2 linked regions of the Drosophila melanogaster genome follow. The protein of the gene in region 1 interacts with the protein of each later gene in a pairwise test. Each region holds a gene or a part of one and is shown in the gene's direction. Other genes may lie near its edges.

Region 1 (7,661 bases):
ATGAATAAAGTTTACTGTACATGGTGCAACAAACGTGGGGCGGTGGGCTTACTCAATGGTAAGGAGAGCGAGAAAGAGCGGGAGAGAGCGAGGGAAAGCCGTATGAATGGGGTTAGAGAAAGAGGCGGAATGGAATCATGTTGCCGGGAATGGCGAGAATGGAAAGGGAGTCAGTCAGTTGGTTGGGAAGAGTGCGGAGGGGGGAAAATGGACGTGGAAAACTTACCGCTCCAGCGTGTAGCGGACCAGCATGACAACAGCGGCGAATGGAATGGGCCATATGAGGTCCTTGTAGTTGGCGTGCACCACATCTGGACGCGAGCCGGGCGCAATGTCCGCCCAGGTTGTGTTCGGCGGCAGCCAAATGTGCGTACTCCAGAATACATTGCTGAACTCATTCAATATGTCCATGTTGCTGCTTCAGTTGCCGCTTCTTAATTTCTCAATTGTTTGTTTTCTTTTTCTTGGTTTTCCTTTGCTTAGCTTTCCAGTTTTTCCTTGGCGTTTGTTGTCACATATGTATATGCTTTGCTTTTTCTAAATATTCGCAATTGTATGAGCCTGTGTTATTGTGCCTTGCGAACAACAGCAACAATAACAGCAAGAACAACAATAAGCGACAACAACAGCAACAAGAACAACAACAGGAGCACCGGACACTAATGCACACTCACAGCGTAGCACAAACACACACTGGCAAAAAAACAAAAACCGCCGAATCGAATTGTTGTTGTCTTGTCTCGTTAACTTGCGCTTATGGCTTTTCTAATTCTACTTCTATTTCTATTTGGATTTCGATTTAATTCGTTTTTGGAAATGCTACCTTTGCCGTTTGTTTGGGAGCGTAAATGAAGTGAAGTTCCCTGACAATCTGTTCTCGACCAAAGCAATAGACTTTCTGAATTTCGGCTCGGTGTCGAGTCGGCCGCCGCTCGTTTCGTCCACTTAAACTTTCAGGATGAACGAAAAAAAATACTAATAGTATTTCCTCGTCGAGCAACAACAATACAGTGTGCCCAGAGACGGCGGAGCAGTAAATGTAACTGCAGCGCGACAAGTGTGCCCGTGTACGGGAAGACAAGGAAAGCCAGCAAAAATAAGGCTTTAGAAGCTACACAAAATACCAAATGCACTAATAATTTTAAAGAACTTTTAATTCACAAGTTTGCGAATTTTGTTTATTGCTTATTATTATTATTGTTCATTACGTTTACCACTAGTTTTTGAGAGAAATTATTATGCGCTACAATTAGTGTTGGTTTTTCGGTAAGAACTCATAAAAGTCAACTATGTAAAGGAAGTATGCCATGGACTATAATGGAAATTAGCAAACTTCATCGTTGAGACCAAAGGGCATATGTGTGTTCCCATATAGGGGAATTTTCCCGCTTATCAATACAAGTATGTGTGCAAAATTCTTGTCCAATTGTTGTCAGCACATGAAAACGGATAACTAACCATAGGTTATAGGAAGGATCCACTGTAGTTCTGCAATGCAAACCAGGGCTGGCAGCGAGAACACTGCTGTAAGCTAACAGCAAACTGTACTGTAAACAGTAGAAAACTGTTCGTGGTATTTAGTATTTAGCTAGTATTTTAATACCAACTTTTGTGCAATGCGATGAGAAATAAAGAAGAAGAGAAGAGGAAGAAACGCTCACAAACTCTTCGTTTCTCTGCATTAATACGCACTTTATTATTAAGTTAAGCTTTATTCCATTATATTATGGCCGAATTTCTGGACTCCGAGGCCGAGGAATCGGAGGTAGGTGTCTGCGGAACCCCAAAAACACTATTTCTAGAAGCGCGTACCGTTCGTGCGTCGTTATGTGTGCGGTGTGCGTTGCGCCTTGCGTGTGTGTACATACATATGTGCCTACATATATATTGAATTAACCAAATGGCTTTTCTTCGTTTTTCCCGCAGGAGGAGGAAGAATTGGACGTCAACGAGCGCAAGAGACTCAAGAAACTGAAGGCGGCCGTCTCCGATAGTAGCGAAGAAGAAGAAGGTGAGTTTTTCCACTGGAGCCGCTGAAGGCGCGTACAAATACATACATACATACATACGTATGTGGCGATCTCTGGCGGGTTTTTCACCCCTCTCACCATCCATCGATCGGAACAGTCCATATCCGGGATAAAGGCACCTATAACTGGCCAATGCCACACGCTTGCAACTTCTTTTGTTTACAACTTTGAGGTTAGGTCTTGTGTTTTTACCGTGCTACCGTGGCCATCAAATATCAGCATCAGCAGTAGCAATAGCAGCAGCAACAACAACAAACAGCTGCGCTCGTTCCAGTAAATAAAACAAGTGCGGCGAATTGGAAGAACGCGGCGTATTCCAAGAAATTGCAAATCAAAGCAGGGAGGGAGAATTAGTTCAATAGATGGAGCTGGAATAATCAATGGTTAGGGCTTATCTATATCGAAATCTAGGTAATTTATCAAATGTAGGTCTTTCTCAAAACCGGGTGAATTACTTAAATTTAAGCTTTAAAAACAGTTTTCAGTTGCATATGTATATCTGCGGCTACAATGAAGGTAAAAGGTAAACCGATATTCTTATTGCCCTATTCCGTAGACGACGAGGAACGGCTGCGCGAAGAGCTCAAAGATCTGATCGACGACAATCCCATCGAGGAGGACGATGGCAGTGGTTACGATTCCGATGGCGTCGGCAGCGGCAAGAAGCGCAAAAAGCACGAGGACGACGATCTGGACGATCGACTGGAGGACGACGACTACGATCTTATCGAGGAGAATCTGGGCGTCAAAGTCGAGAGACGGGTAGGTGTTCCCTTCAGGGAAGAACTATGTACTTTTTAAACTCCAATTGTGGCTCCAATTTCGAAGCTTAACTAACAAAGAATAACATAGCTGAGGGATTGGGGCTTCTATCTCCTCAAATATATTGTTTGAAATTATGTTTTCCCTTGTAGAAGCGGTTCAAGCGTCTGCGTCGCATCCACGACAACGAAAGCGATGGCGAGGAGCAGCACGTGGACGAGGGTCTGGTGCGTGAGCAGATTGCCGAGCAGTTGTTCGACGAGAACGATGAGGTATGCCACTAGTAATCCCTGACCACCAATTAATGCACAGTGTCCAACTGATTGCCCCTGATCCTACAGAGCATTGGTCATCGCAGCGAGCGCAGTCACAGGGAGGCGGACGACTACGACGACGTGGATACGGAGTCGGACGCAGATGACTTCATTGTGGACGATAATGGGCGTCCCATAGCCGAGAAGAAGAAGAAACGGCGCCCCATCTTTACAGACGCGTAAGTATACAAACTATAATAAAGTTTAGATATCAATAGATACGATTAATATAATCCAACCACAGATCACTTCAAGAGGGTCAGGACATCTTTGGCGTAGACTTCGACTATGACGACTTCTCAAAGTACGAGGAAGACGACTACGAAGATGACTCGGAAGGAGATGAGTACGATGAGGATCTGGGCGTCGGCGATGATACGCGCGTCAAGAAGAAGAAAGCGCTCAAAAAGAAGGTGGTCAAGAAGACAATCTTCGACATATACGAGCCCAGCGAGCTCAAGCGTGGTCATTTCACCGATATGGACAACGAGATTCGCAAGACAGACATCCCAGAAAGAATGCAGCTGCGAGAGGTGCCCGTAACCCCGGTGCCCGAGGGATCAGACGAGCTGGACCTCGAGGCTGAATGGATCTACAAATATGCCTTCTGCAAGCACACTGTTTCGGAACAGGAAAAGCCGGAGAGCCGCGAGAAAATGCGCAAACCACCGACAACCGTTAACAAGATTAAGCAGACGCTAGAATTTATACGCAACCAGCAGTTGGAGGTGCCCTTTATAGCCTTCTATCGCAAGGAGTATGTGAAGCCAGAGCTTAATATCGACGATCTCTGGAAGGTTTACTACTACGATGGGATCTGGTGTCAGCTAAACGAGCGAAAGCGCAAGCTAAAGGTGCTTTTCGAAAAGATGCGTCAGTTCCAGCTGGACACGCTATGCGCCGACACAGATCAACCCGTACCGGATGATGTTCGCCTCATCCTGGACAGCGATTTCGAGCGCCTCGCCGACGTACAGTCGATGGAGGAGCTAAAGGACGTGCACATGTACTTTCTGCTGAACTATTCGCATGAGCTGCCCCGCATGCAGGCGGAGCAGCGACGAAAAGCTATACAGGAGCGTCGCGAGGCCAAGGCGCGTCGCCAGGCAGCCGCCGCTGAGAACGGTGATGATGCGGCCGAGGCGATAGTTGTACCAGAGCCGGAAGACGATGACGATCCCGAGCTGATCGATTACCAACTAAAGCAGGCGTCCAACAGCAGTCCCTATGCGGTATTCCGCAAGGCGGGCATCTGCGGCTTTGCCAAACACTTTGGTCTCACGCCGGAGCAGTATGCCGAAAATCTGCGCGACAATTACCAGCGCAATGAGATCACCCAGGAAAGCATCGGTCCCACAGAGCTGGCCAAGCAATATTTGTCGCCGCGCTTCATGACCACGGATGAGGTTATCCATGCCGCAAAATACGTTGTGGCCCGACAGCTGGCACAAGAGCCTCTGCTGCGCAAGACCATGCGTGAGGTGTATTTCGACAGAGCTAGGATTAACATACGGCCCACCAAGAATGGCATGGTGCTGATCGATGAGAATTCGCCGGTGTATTCGATGAAGTACGTGGCCAAGAAGCCGGTAAGCGATCTATTTGGCGATCAATTCATAAAGCTAATGATGGCCGAGGAGGAGAAGCTGCTGGAGATAACGTTCCTCGAGGAGTTCGAGGGCAATGCGTGTGCCAACGGAACACCCGGTGACTATGTGGAAGAGTCCAAGGCCCTGTACCAGCTGGATCAGTTTGCCAAGCACGTGCAGGAGTGGAATAAGCTGCGGGCGGAATGCGTACAGCTGGCGCTGCAGAAGTGGGTCATTCCGGATCTGATCAAGGAGCTGCGCTCAACTCTGCACGAGGAGGCTCAGCAATTTGTGCTGCGTTCCTGCACGGGTAAGCTGTATAAGTGGCTAAAGGTGGCACCCTATAAACCGCAACTGCCCCCCGACTTTGGCTACGAGGAGTGGAGCACGCTGAGGGGCATACGGGTGCTGGGTCTGGCCTACGATCCCGATCACTCAGTGGCCGCTTTCTGTGCGGTGACTACCGTGGAGGGCGACATCTCCGACTACCTGCGACTGCCGAACATTCTGAAGCGCAAGAATTCTTACAACCTTGAGGAGAAGGCCCAGAAGTTGGCCGACCTTCGAAAGCTGAGTGACTTTATCAAAATGAAGAAGCCACACATTGTTGTCATCGGAGCGGAATCGCGCGATGCCCAGAACATCCAGGCAGACATTAAGGAGATTCTGCATGAACTCGAGACCTCCGAACAATTTCCGCCCATCGAGGTGGAGATAATCGACAACGAGCTGGCCAAGATCTATGCCAACTCGAAGAAGGGCGAGTCTGACTTTAAGGAGTATCCTCCTCTGCTGAAGCAGGCTGCTTCGCTGGCCCGCAAGATGCAGGATCCGCTAGTGGAATACTCACAGCTGTGTGATGCGGACGACGAGATTCTCTGCCTGCGCTACCATCCGCTACAGGAGCGTGTGCCGCGCGAACAGCTGCTGGAGCAGCTCAGCCTGCAGTTTATCAATCGAACGAGCGAGGTGGGTCTGGACATTAACCTGATGGTGCAGAACTCACGGACCATCAACCTGCTGCAGTACATCTGTGGCTTGGGTCCGCGCAAGGGTCAGGCTTTACTTAAACTTCTTAAGCAGAGCAACCAGCGGTTGGAGAACCGCACCCAGCTGGTCACCGTGTGTCATCTGGGGCCCAGGGTCTTTATCAACTGCAGCGGTTTCATTAAGATCGATACCTCATCGCTGGGCGACAGCACAGAGGCGTATGTCGAGGTGCTGGACGGGTCGCGTGTGCATCCAGAAACGTACGAGTGGGCCAGAAAGATGGCCATCGATGCCATGGAGTACGACGACGAGGAGACCAATCCGGCCGGTGCCCTTGAGGAAATTCTCGAGTCGCCAGAGCGCCTTAAGGATCTCGATCTGGACGCATTCGCTGTGGAACTGGAGCGCCAGGGATTCGGCAGCAAGAGCATAACCTTGTACGACATAAGGAACGAGTTGAGCTGCCTGTACAAGGACTACCGCACTCCGTACACAAAGCCCAGTGCGGAGGAGCTCTTCGATATGCTGACCAAGGAGACGCCCGACTCGTTTTATGTGGGCAAGTGCGTCACGGCCATGGTCACCGGTTTCACCTACCGTCGGCCGCAGGGCGATCAGCTAGACAGCGCAAATCCGGTGCGTCTAGATTCCAACGAAAGCTGGCAGTGCCCCTTCTGCCACAAGGACGACTTCCCAGAGCTGTCCGAGGTGTGGAATCACTTTGACGCGAACGCGTGCCCTGGCCAGCCATCTGGTGTGCGTGTGCGTCTGGAGAACGGCCTGCCTGGCTTTATACACATCAAGAACTTGTCCGATAGACAGGTTCGCAATCCCGAAGAACGTGTGCGCGTCTCACAGATGATTCATGTTCGCATCATTAAGATAGACATTGACCGGTTCTCAGTCGAATGCTCTTCGAGGACCGCTGATCTTAAGGATGTGAACAATGAGTGGCGGCCGCGTCGCGACAACTACTATGATTATGTGACTGAGGAGCAGGACAATCGGAAAGTGAGCGATGCCAAGGCCAGGGCTCTGAAGCGCAAAATTTACGCGCGTCGCGTAATCGCCCATCCCAGCTTCTTCAACAAGTCGTACGCGGAGGTGGTGGCCATGCTAGCGGAGGCCGATCAGGGCGAGGTGGCCCTGCGTCCGAGCAGCAAGTCCAAGGACCATCTGACAGCCACCTGGAAGGTGGCCGACGACATCTTCCAGCACATCGATGTGCGCGAGGAGGGTAAAGAGAACGATTTCAGCCTGGGCAGAAGTCTGTGGATCGGCACCGAGGAGTTCGAGGATCTGGACGAGATCATCGCCCGCCACATCATGCCGATGGCCTTGGCTGCCCGCGAACTGATACAGTACAAGTACTACAAGCCAAACATGGTGACCGGCGATGAAAATGAACGGGATGTCATGGAAAAGTTGCTGCGCGAGGAGAAGGCAAATGATCCGAAGAAGATACACTACTTTTTTACGGCCTCACGCGCCATGCCGGGCAAGTTCCTGCTGTCCTATCTGCCCAAGACGAAGGTGCGTCACGAGTATGTGACGGTCATGCCGGAGGGCTATCGTTTCCGTGGCCAGATTTTCGATACGGTTAACAGTCTGCTGCGTTGGTTTAAGGAACACTGGCTGGATCCAACGGCCACGCCGGCCAGCGCCTCGGCGTCCAACTTAACGCCACTGCACTTGATGCGTCCGCCGCCGACGATCTCGTCGTCATCCCAGACCTCCTTGGGCCCCCAGGCGCCCTACAGCGTCACTGGCAGCGTGACTGGTGGAACGCCGCGCAGTGGCATCAGCAGTGCCGTCGGCGGTGGCGGTTCCAGCGCCTACTCCATTACGCAATCCATCACTGGCTACGGCACGTCGGGCAGTTCTGCTCCAGGGGCTGGAGTATCTTCCTCCCACTATGGCAGCTCATCGACGCCGTCGTTTGGCGCCATCAATACGCCATACACGCCCAGTGGACA
Region 2 (4,272 bases), on another chromosome or scaffold:
GGTGAGGATGTCCATTGTTGTTTTGAGTTAAGTGAAGAAATGGTGGTTGAATCCAACACTACACTTATGATTTTTTAATCACTCTTAAAAGTGATCCTTTTAAAGCCGGATACATTAGAAGTTAATGTCTATATTATTTTAATCGTTATTTGTGGTATTAAAGGGTATTCGAGATTTGATTTAACATATGAAATAGATATCAGACATTAAGTATATGTATTAATCTTTCTTAAGATCACTTGCCAGTGATCTGGCCATGTCCGTCTTTCCGTCCGACTGAACGTAGATACCTAGAAAAGTTGATGTAATTTGGTGTTCCAAATACTTATCGACCCTTAAAGTTTTTCACAAAGTTGTTATTTACCTTTTGCCTTTTATTCACTTGTACAGAGCGTCCTGGGATTACGTTTGAGCCGCAGCTGTGCCACAGTCCCTCAGAGCAGAGTAGCTCCGACAGCTCCGACAGCACCTACCAGTTTGCGACGAGCTTCGGCGTGATCTTTGCCCTGACCTTTGGTCTGTCCAAGCTGCTCCAACTGGCGGAGCTGCAGGCCAAAAGGTATTTCAAGAGCAAAAAGGCGCTGCATCCCAAATCTGCTGCCAAAGTGCAGGACCCAGTTGTTGAGCAGAAGGCGCCAAGCCAGCAGGACGATTCGAATCCCTTCGATCTCCTGCAGGACCACAATGAAAATCTGAAGGAGCAGCTCAGTATCCTGCAGTTGCAGTGTCTGGAAATGCGCGAACTTCTGCACGAGCTGGATATCAGCAGTAGCTCCAGTAGCTATGGAAGTGTCAGATCCGGAAACCGGGTAGCAATGGCCAAGTCCTCCGAAGAATCAATGGTGGTGTGGAGGCGATCGGACTCCCTGACCGGTACGGTCTCCGGCTCATTGCACGCCGAAAAGGTCAACTCCCCCTCCACACAAAACATCTACATTACCAACAGCCACTTCCACATCAACGGACAGGTCTACCTGACCGAGAACCACGTGAACGTCGAGCTCACCCAGAACGCTTCTTTGTTCGGTCGGGGGCAGAGCGAGTTCCTGCAGGTGGCGGGAAGGTTCATCTCCGGACCAAAGAAGATGCCCATGTTAACGGGCATGCGGTGCCACAACATCCTCATATGAGGAGTCTTCAAAATCATCCATTTCACTCGGAATAAACAATGTTACTAGCAATTCAACGACGTTTATCTTTAGTAGTTGGTAATACAAGGGAAATGGTTCCATAGAAAAAGGGCATCGCATCAAATAAGGCTTGCTCGACTATAGGTTACTTTCTAGTTTTATTATTGTAGTTGATTTAACATAAATGTTTTTAAAAACTTTGGGGTTCGAGTGTTTTAATGTCATCAAGAAAAGGAATTTAAGGAATAATTCTAGCACATTATCTATAAAGGCAATAATCGCTTACTCCTTTTGATTTACAAAGTTATTAATAATGTACATATGTACTTAATTAACACCAGAAATCGATGCCATTTACTTTGTTTTAGTCTTGTATTTAAAATTGAATTATTCGTTTTTTTGTACTGTATGTTTTTTATTGAATAATTTGCTACTAGAATGATTCCGCCATGGGGTATATTGGGAATAGAAGGGTATGGCTAGCTTTATTGGTCATTGGGTAAATGGTTTTCCCCTGTTTTCCACCACCCCAATAAGTATATTTCGTTACAAACACATGGTTTTAGAGTTCAGCAATAATGATTTAGCACTTTGGGGTCGACCAAGGAAAGATTTTTTCTTTAACCATAGTTACTTTTACCTGCATGTATCACATTATGCATTGACCTGCTTGGATCTACAGAAAATCGTAAGATTAGTTGGGACGCACCGTAAAAAGATGAGTGCAGCTGCTGGAAAGCCCTTCTTTGATGACACCTGACCCAGGTAACATTGTTAAATATGCTATGTTGCCCATTTTACAGAACCAAACGACCTTGGGACATGTTTGTATATAAGCCTTACGACTTACCTATTCACTTCAGAAGGAGTACAACCCTTGTCATAGCAACATCTTTACAGATTGCCAATTCCTGTGCTTATTGCCACATTTTAAATACGCATTCGCCGTGAACAAACACGAAAATAAGGTAAGTTTAAGGTAAGGATTGCCATTGTGGGTCAATTCGTGCCGAGTTAGCAAAGTCATAAATAAACCAAGATGTATTTGGAAATTAGTGCAATTTATGTTTAAAGCTCTACACAAGTATTAAATTTCATTGATTATTAAATATAAGAAAGAGTGCAGAGGGTTCTTTTTGATGCTATGCAACTAAAAGATGACGTTTGTCACTGACCTTATAAAGTGTATGTGTCATCCATGACTACGATCTAGTCGTACCTATTCTGTCCGTTTGTTTGAAAGTTGAGATCTCAGTGTATTTAGCATTCAGGATGTAGATTCCAGAAACGCTAATACTCAAAGATCTGGGAATAACCATTATACTTTTTTGAAACCGTTTAAGTGCACGATTTTGTATATTCGCAATTTTATATTCACACAGTTCGTGTCATTTCAGATCGATGGAATCGTCAATATGCCGAGTTTGCCTGGTCAGTTACGAAAATATGGCCAGTGTTTTCGATGAGTCTCATGAACCGGGCCTATCCATTGCGTACATAATATACAAGTGCACCGGCTGGCAAGTTGAGAAGCACGATCCACTGTCCAACACCATATGCAAGTCCTGTCTGGAGGATGCGCAGAATGCATTCGATATCATAGAAACGTACGAGAGAAGTCACCAGTTTTACCGCTTCCTCAAGGATGTACGGGAGGAGGAGAGTGAAAATGATGGATCCGGATGCTCAGAAGAAGTGGAGGCAGCTGAGAGGGATCTCCAGGATGGTGCCGACGACGTCGATTCCGGCAATGAACCTGATATTAACGAATGTGATATCAAGGCCAAGGAGAAACCAGGCTTTAGCTGTTCTCACTGCCCTAAATCTTTTCAAGTAAAATCAAATCTGAAGGTACACATGCGTTCACACACAGGAGAACGTCCCTTCACGTGTTCCCTCTGCCCCAAGTCCTTTGGCTATAGCTCTGGTCTTCAGAATCACATGCGAACCCACACAGGAGAACGACCCTTCCAGTGCTCGCATTGCCCAAGGTCCTTTACAGCTGGGCACCACCTCAAGGCCCACATACAGATGCACGAAAGAAGAGGATCGTTAAGGTGCCCATACTGCCAAAAGTGCTTTCTAACTTCTTTAATTCTCAAGCAGCATTTGGCCACGCACACTGATGAAACGCAGTTCAAGTGTTCCCAGTGCTCGAAGTCCTTTCAAGTCGAACATGAACTTTGGATGCACATGCGAGTGCACCAAGAACGCCTCTTTACTTGTGGCCATTGCTCAAAGGACTTTGCGCTACATGCGTATCTCAAGCGACACCTGTCAAGGAACGCGAGATGCTCTCAAAGCTCAAAAGCATCTGCTCACAAAACACTAGGCCACTCAAAGGCACTTAAGTGTGGTAAGTGCCCAAAAACTTTCACTGACCGTTCGGCTCTGTCCACTCACTTGAAATCACACACCAAAAATAAGCCATTGCTCGAAGGTCCTTGCAAATCTTCAGGATCTAAGCCGGCACATAGTAACGCACAAAGAAAACCGTTTAAGTGTTCCAGCTGCCCAAGGACTTTTTCGCGGAAATCCGCACTGCTAACACACTTGCAAACCCACACAGGAAAACTGGGCACAAATCGCATGTAGAAGAAAGAACCGTTTGAGAAGGCTAAAAGAATTCGATTCTTTTTTTTTTTTTGTTCGCACGGGTCCTACGTCCACACCTCCCGCCCAACCGACCGAGGGGCGCTGCCGTGTATCGTACGGCTCGATTCGCGAGAAGATATAGACGCGATATAAAAAAGAGAACAGGAACGAGGAAATGAATATAATGTAAAATAACTATATTAAATATTACTGTTAGTAGGATCTAATTATGTAATAAAAAAGTTAAAATCGATTGCTTTAAGAGCGGCAGAGAGTTAAGTCTATTATAGTCAGAACATAAAACTCTGTAAGGGTCATGCAACTCATAGTTAGATCTACAATGATTTAAGATAAGGGGTATATAGTTTCTAGTGAATCTACTTGGAACCGAAAAGTTAAGCCGACTAATAAAGTCGGGACTCTCAACATCCCCACGAATAAGCTTACAAATAAAGACTGTTCCAAGCATAGTTCTACGGTTAGCTAGGGACGGTAAATTAATTAAAGGAAGTCTACTAATATAAGGAGGTAATATACGGTTTGCATC

Evidence for each region. The genes of interacting proteins can lie anywhere in the genome.
Region 2: the proteins of Spt6 (region 1) and Neu2 interact in a two-hybrid assay, tested with the Drosophila melanogaster proteins (one large-scale study listed by BioGRID).

What each region holds. Positions count from the first base shown.
Region 1 is NC_004354.4:6,266,181-6,273,841, forward strand, and holds the start of Spt6 (Spt6), read left to right. Parts: upstream 1-1,616; 5' UTR 1,617-1,726; coding exon 1,727-1,765; intron 1,766-1,926; coding exon 1,927-2,011; intron 2,012-2,586; coding exon 2,587-2,792; intron 2,793-2,944; coding exon 2,945-3,064; intron 3,065-3,133; coding exon 3,134-3,285; intron 3,286-3,350; coding exon 3,351-7,661. Other genes in the region: schlank, read right to left, coding at 227-411. UniProt on the Drosophila melanogaster protein: Histone H3-H4 chaperone that plays a role in maintenance of chromatin structure during RNA polymerase II transcription elongation.
Region 2 is NT_037436.4:21,488,306-21,492,577, reverse strand, and holds Neu2 (Neuroectoderm-expressed 2), read left to right. Parts: upstream 1-1,991; 5' UTR 1,992-2,098; intron 2,099-2,527; 5' UTR 2,528-2,576; coding exon 2,577-3,725; 3' UTR 3,726-3,728; downstream 3,729-4,272. Other genes in the region: CG7202 (uncharacterized protein), read left to right, coding at 1-1, 391-1,130.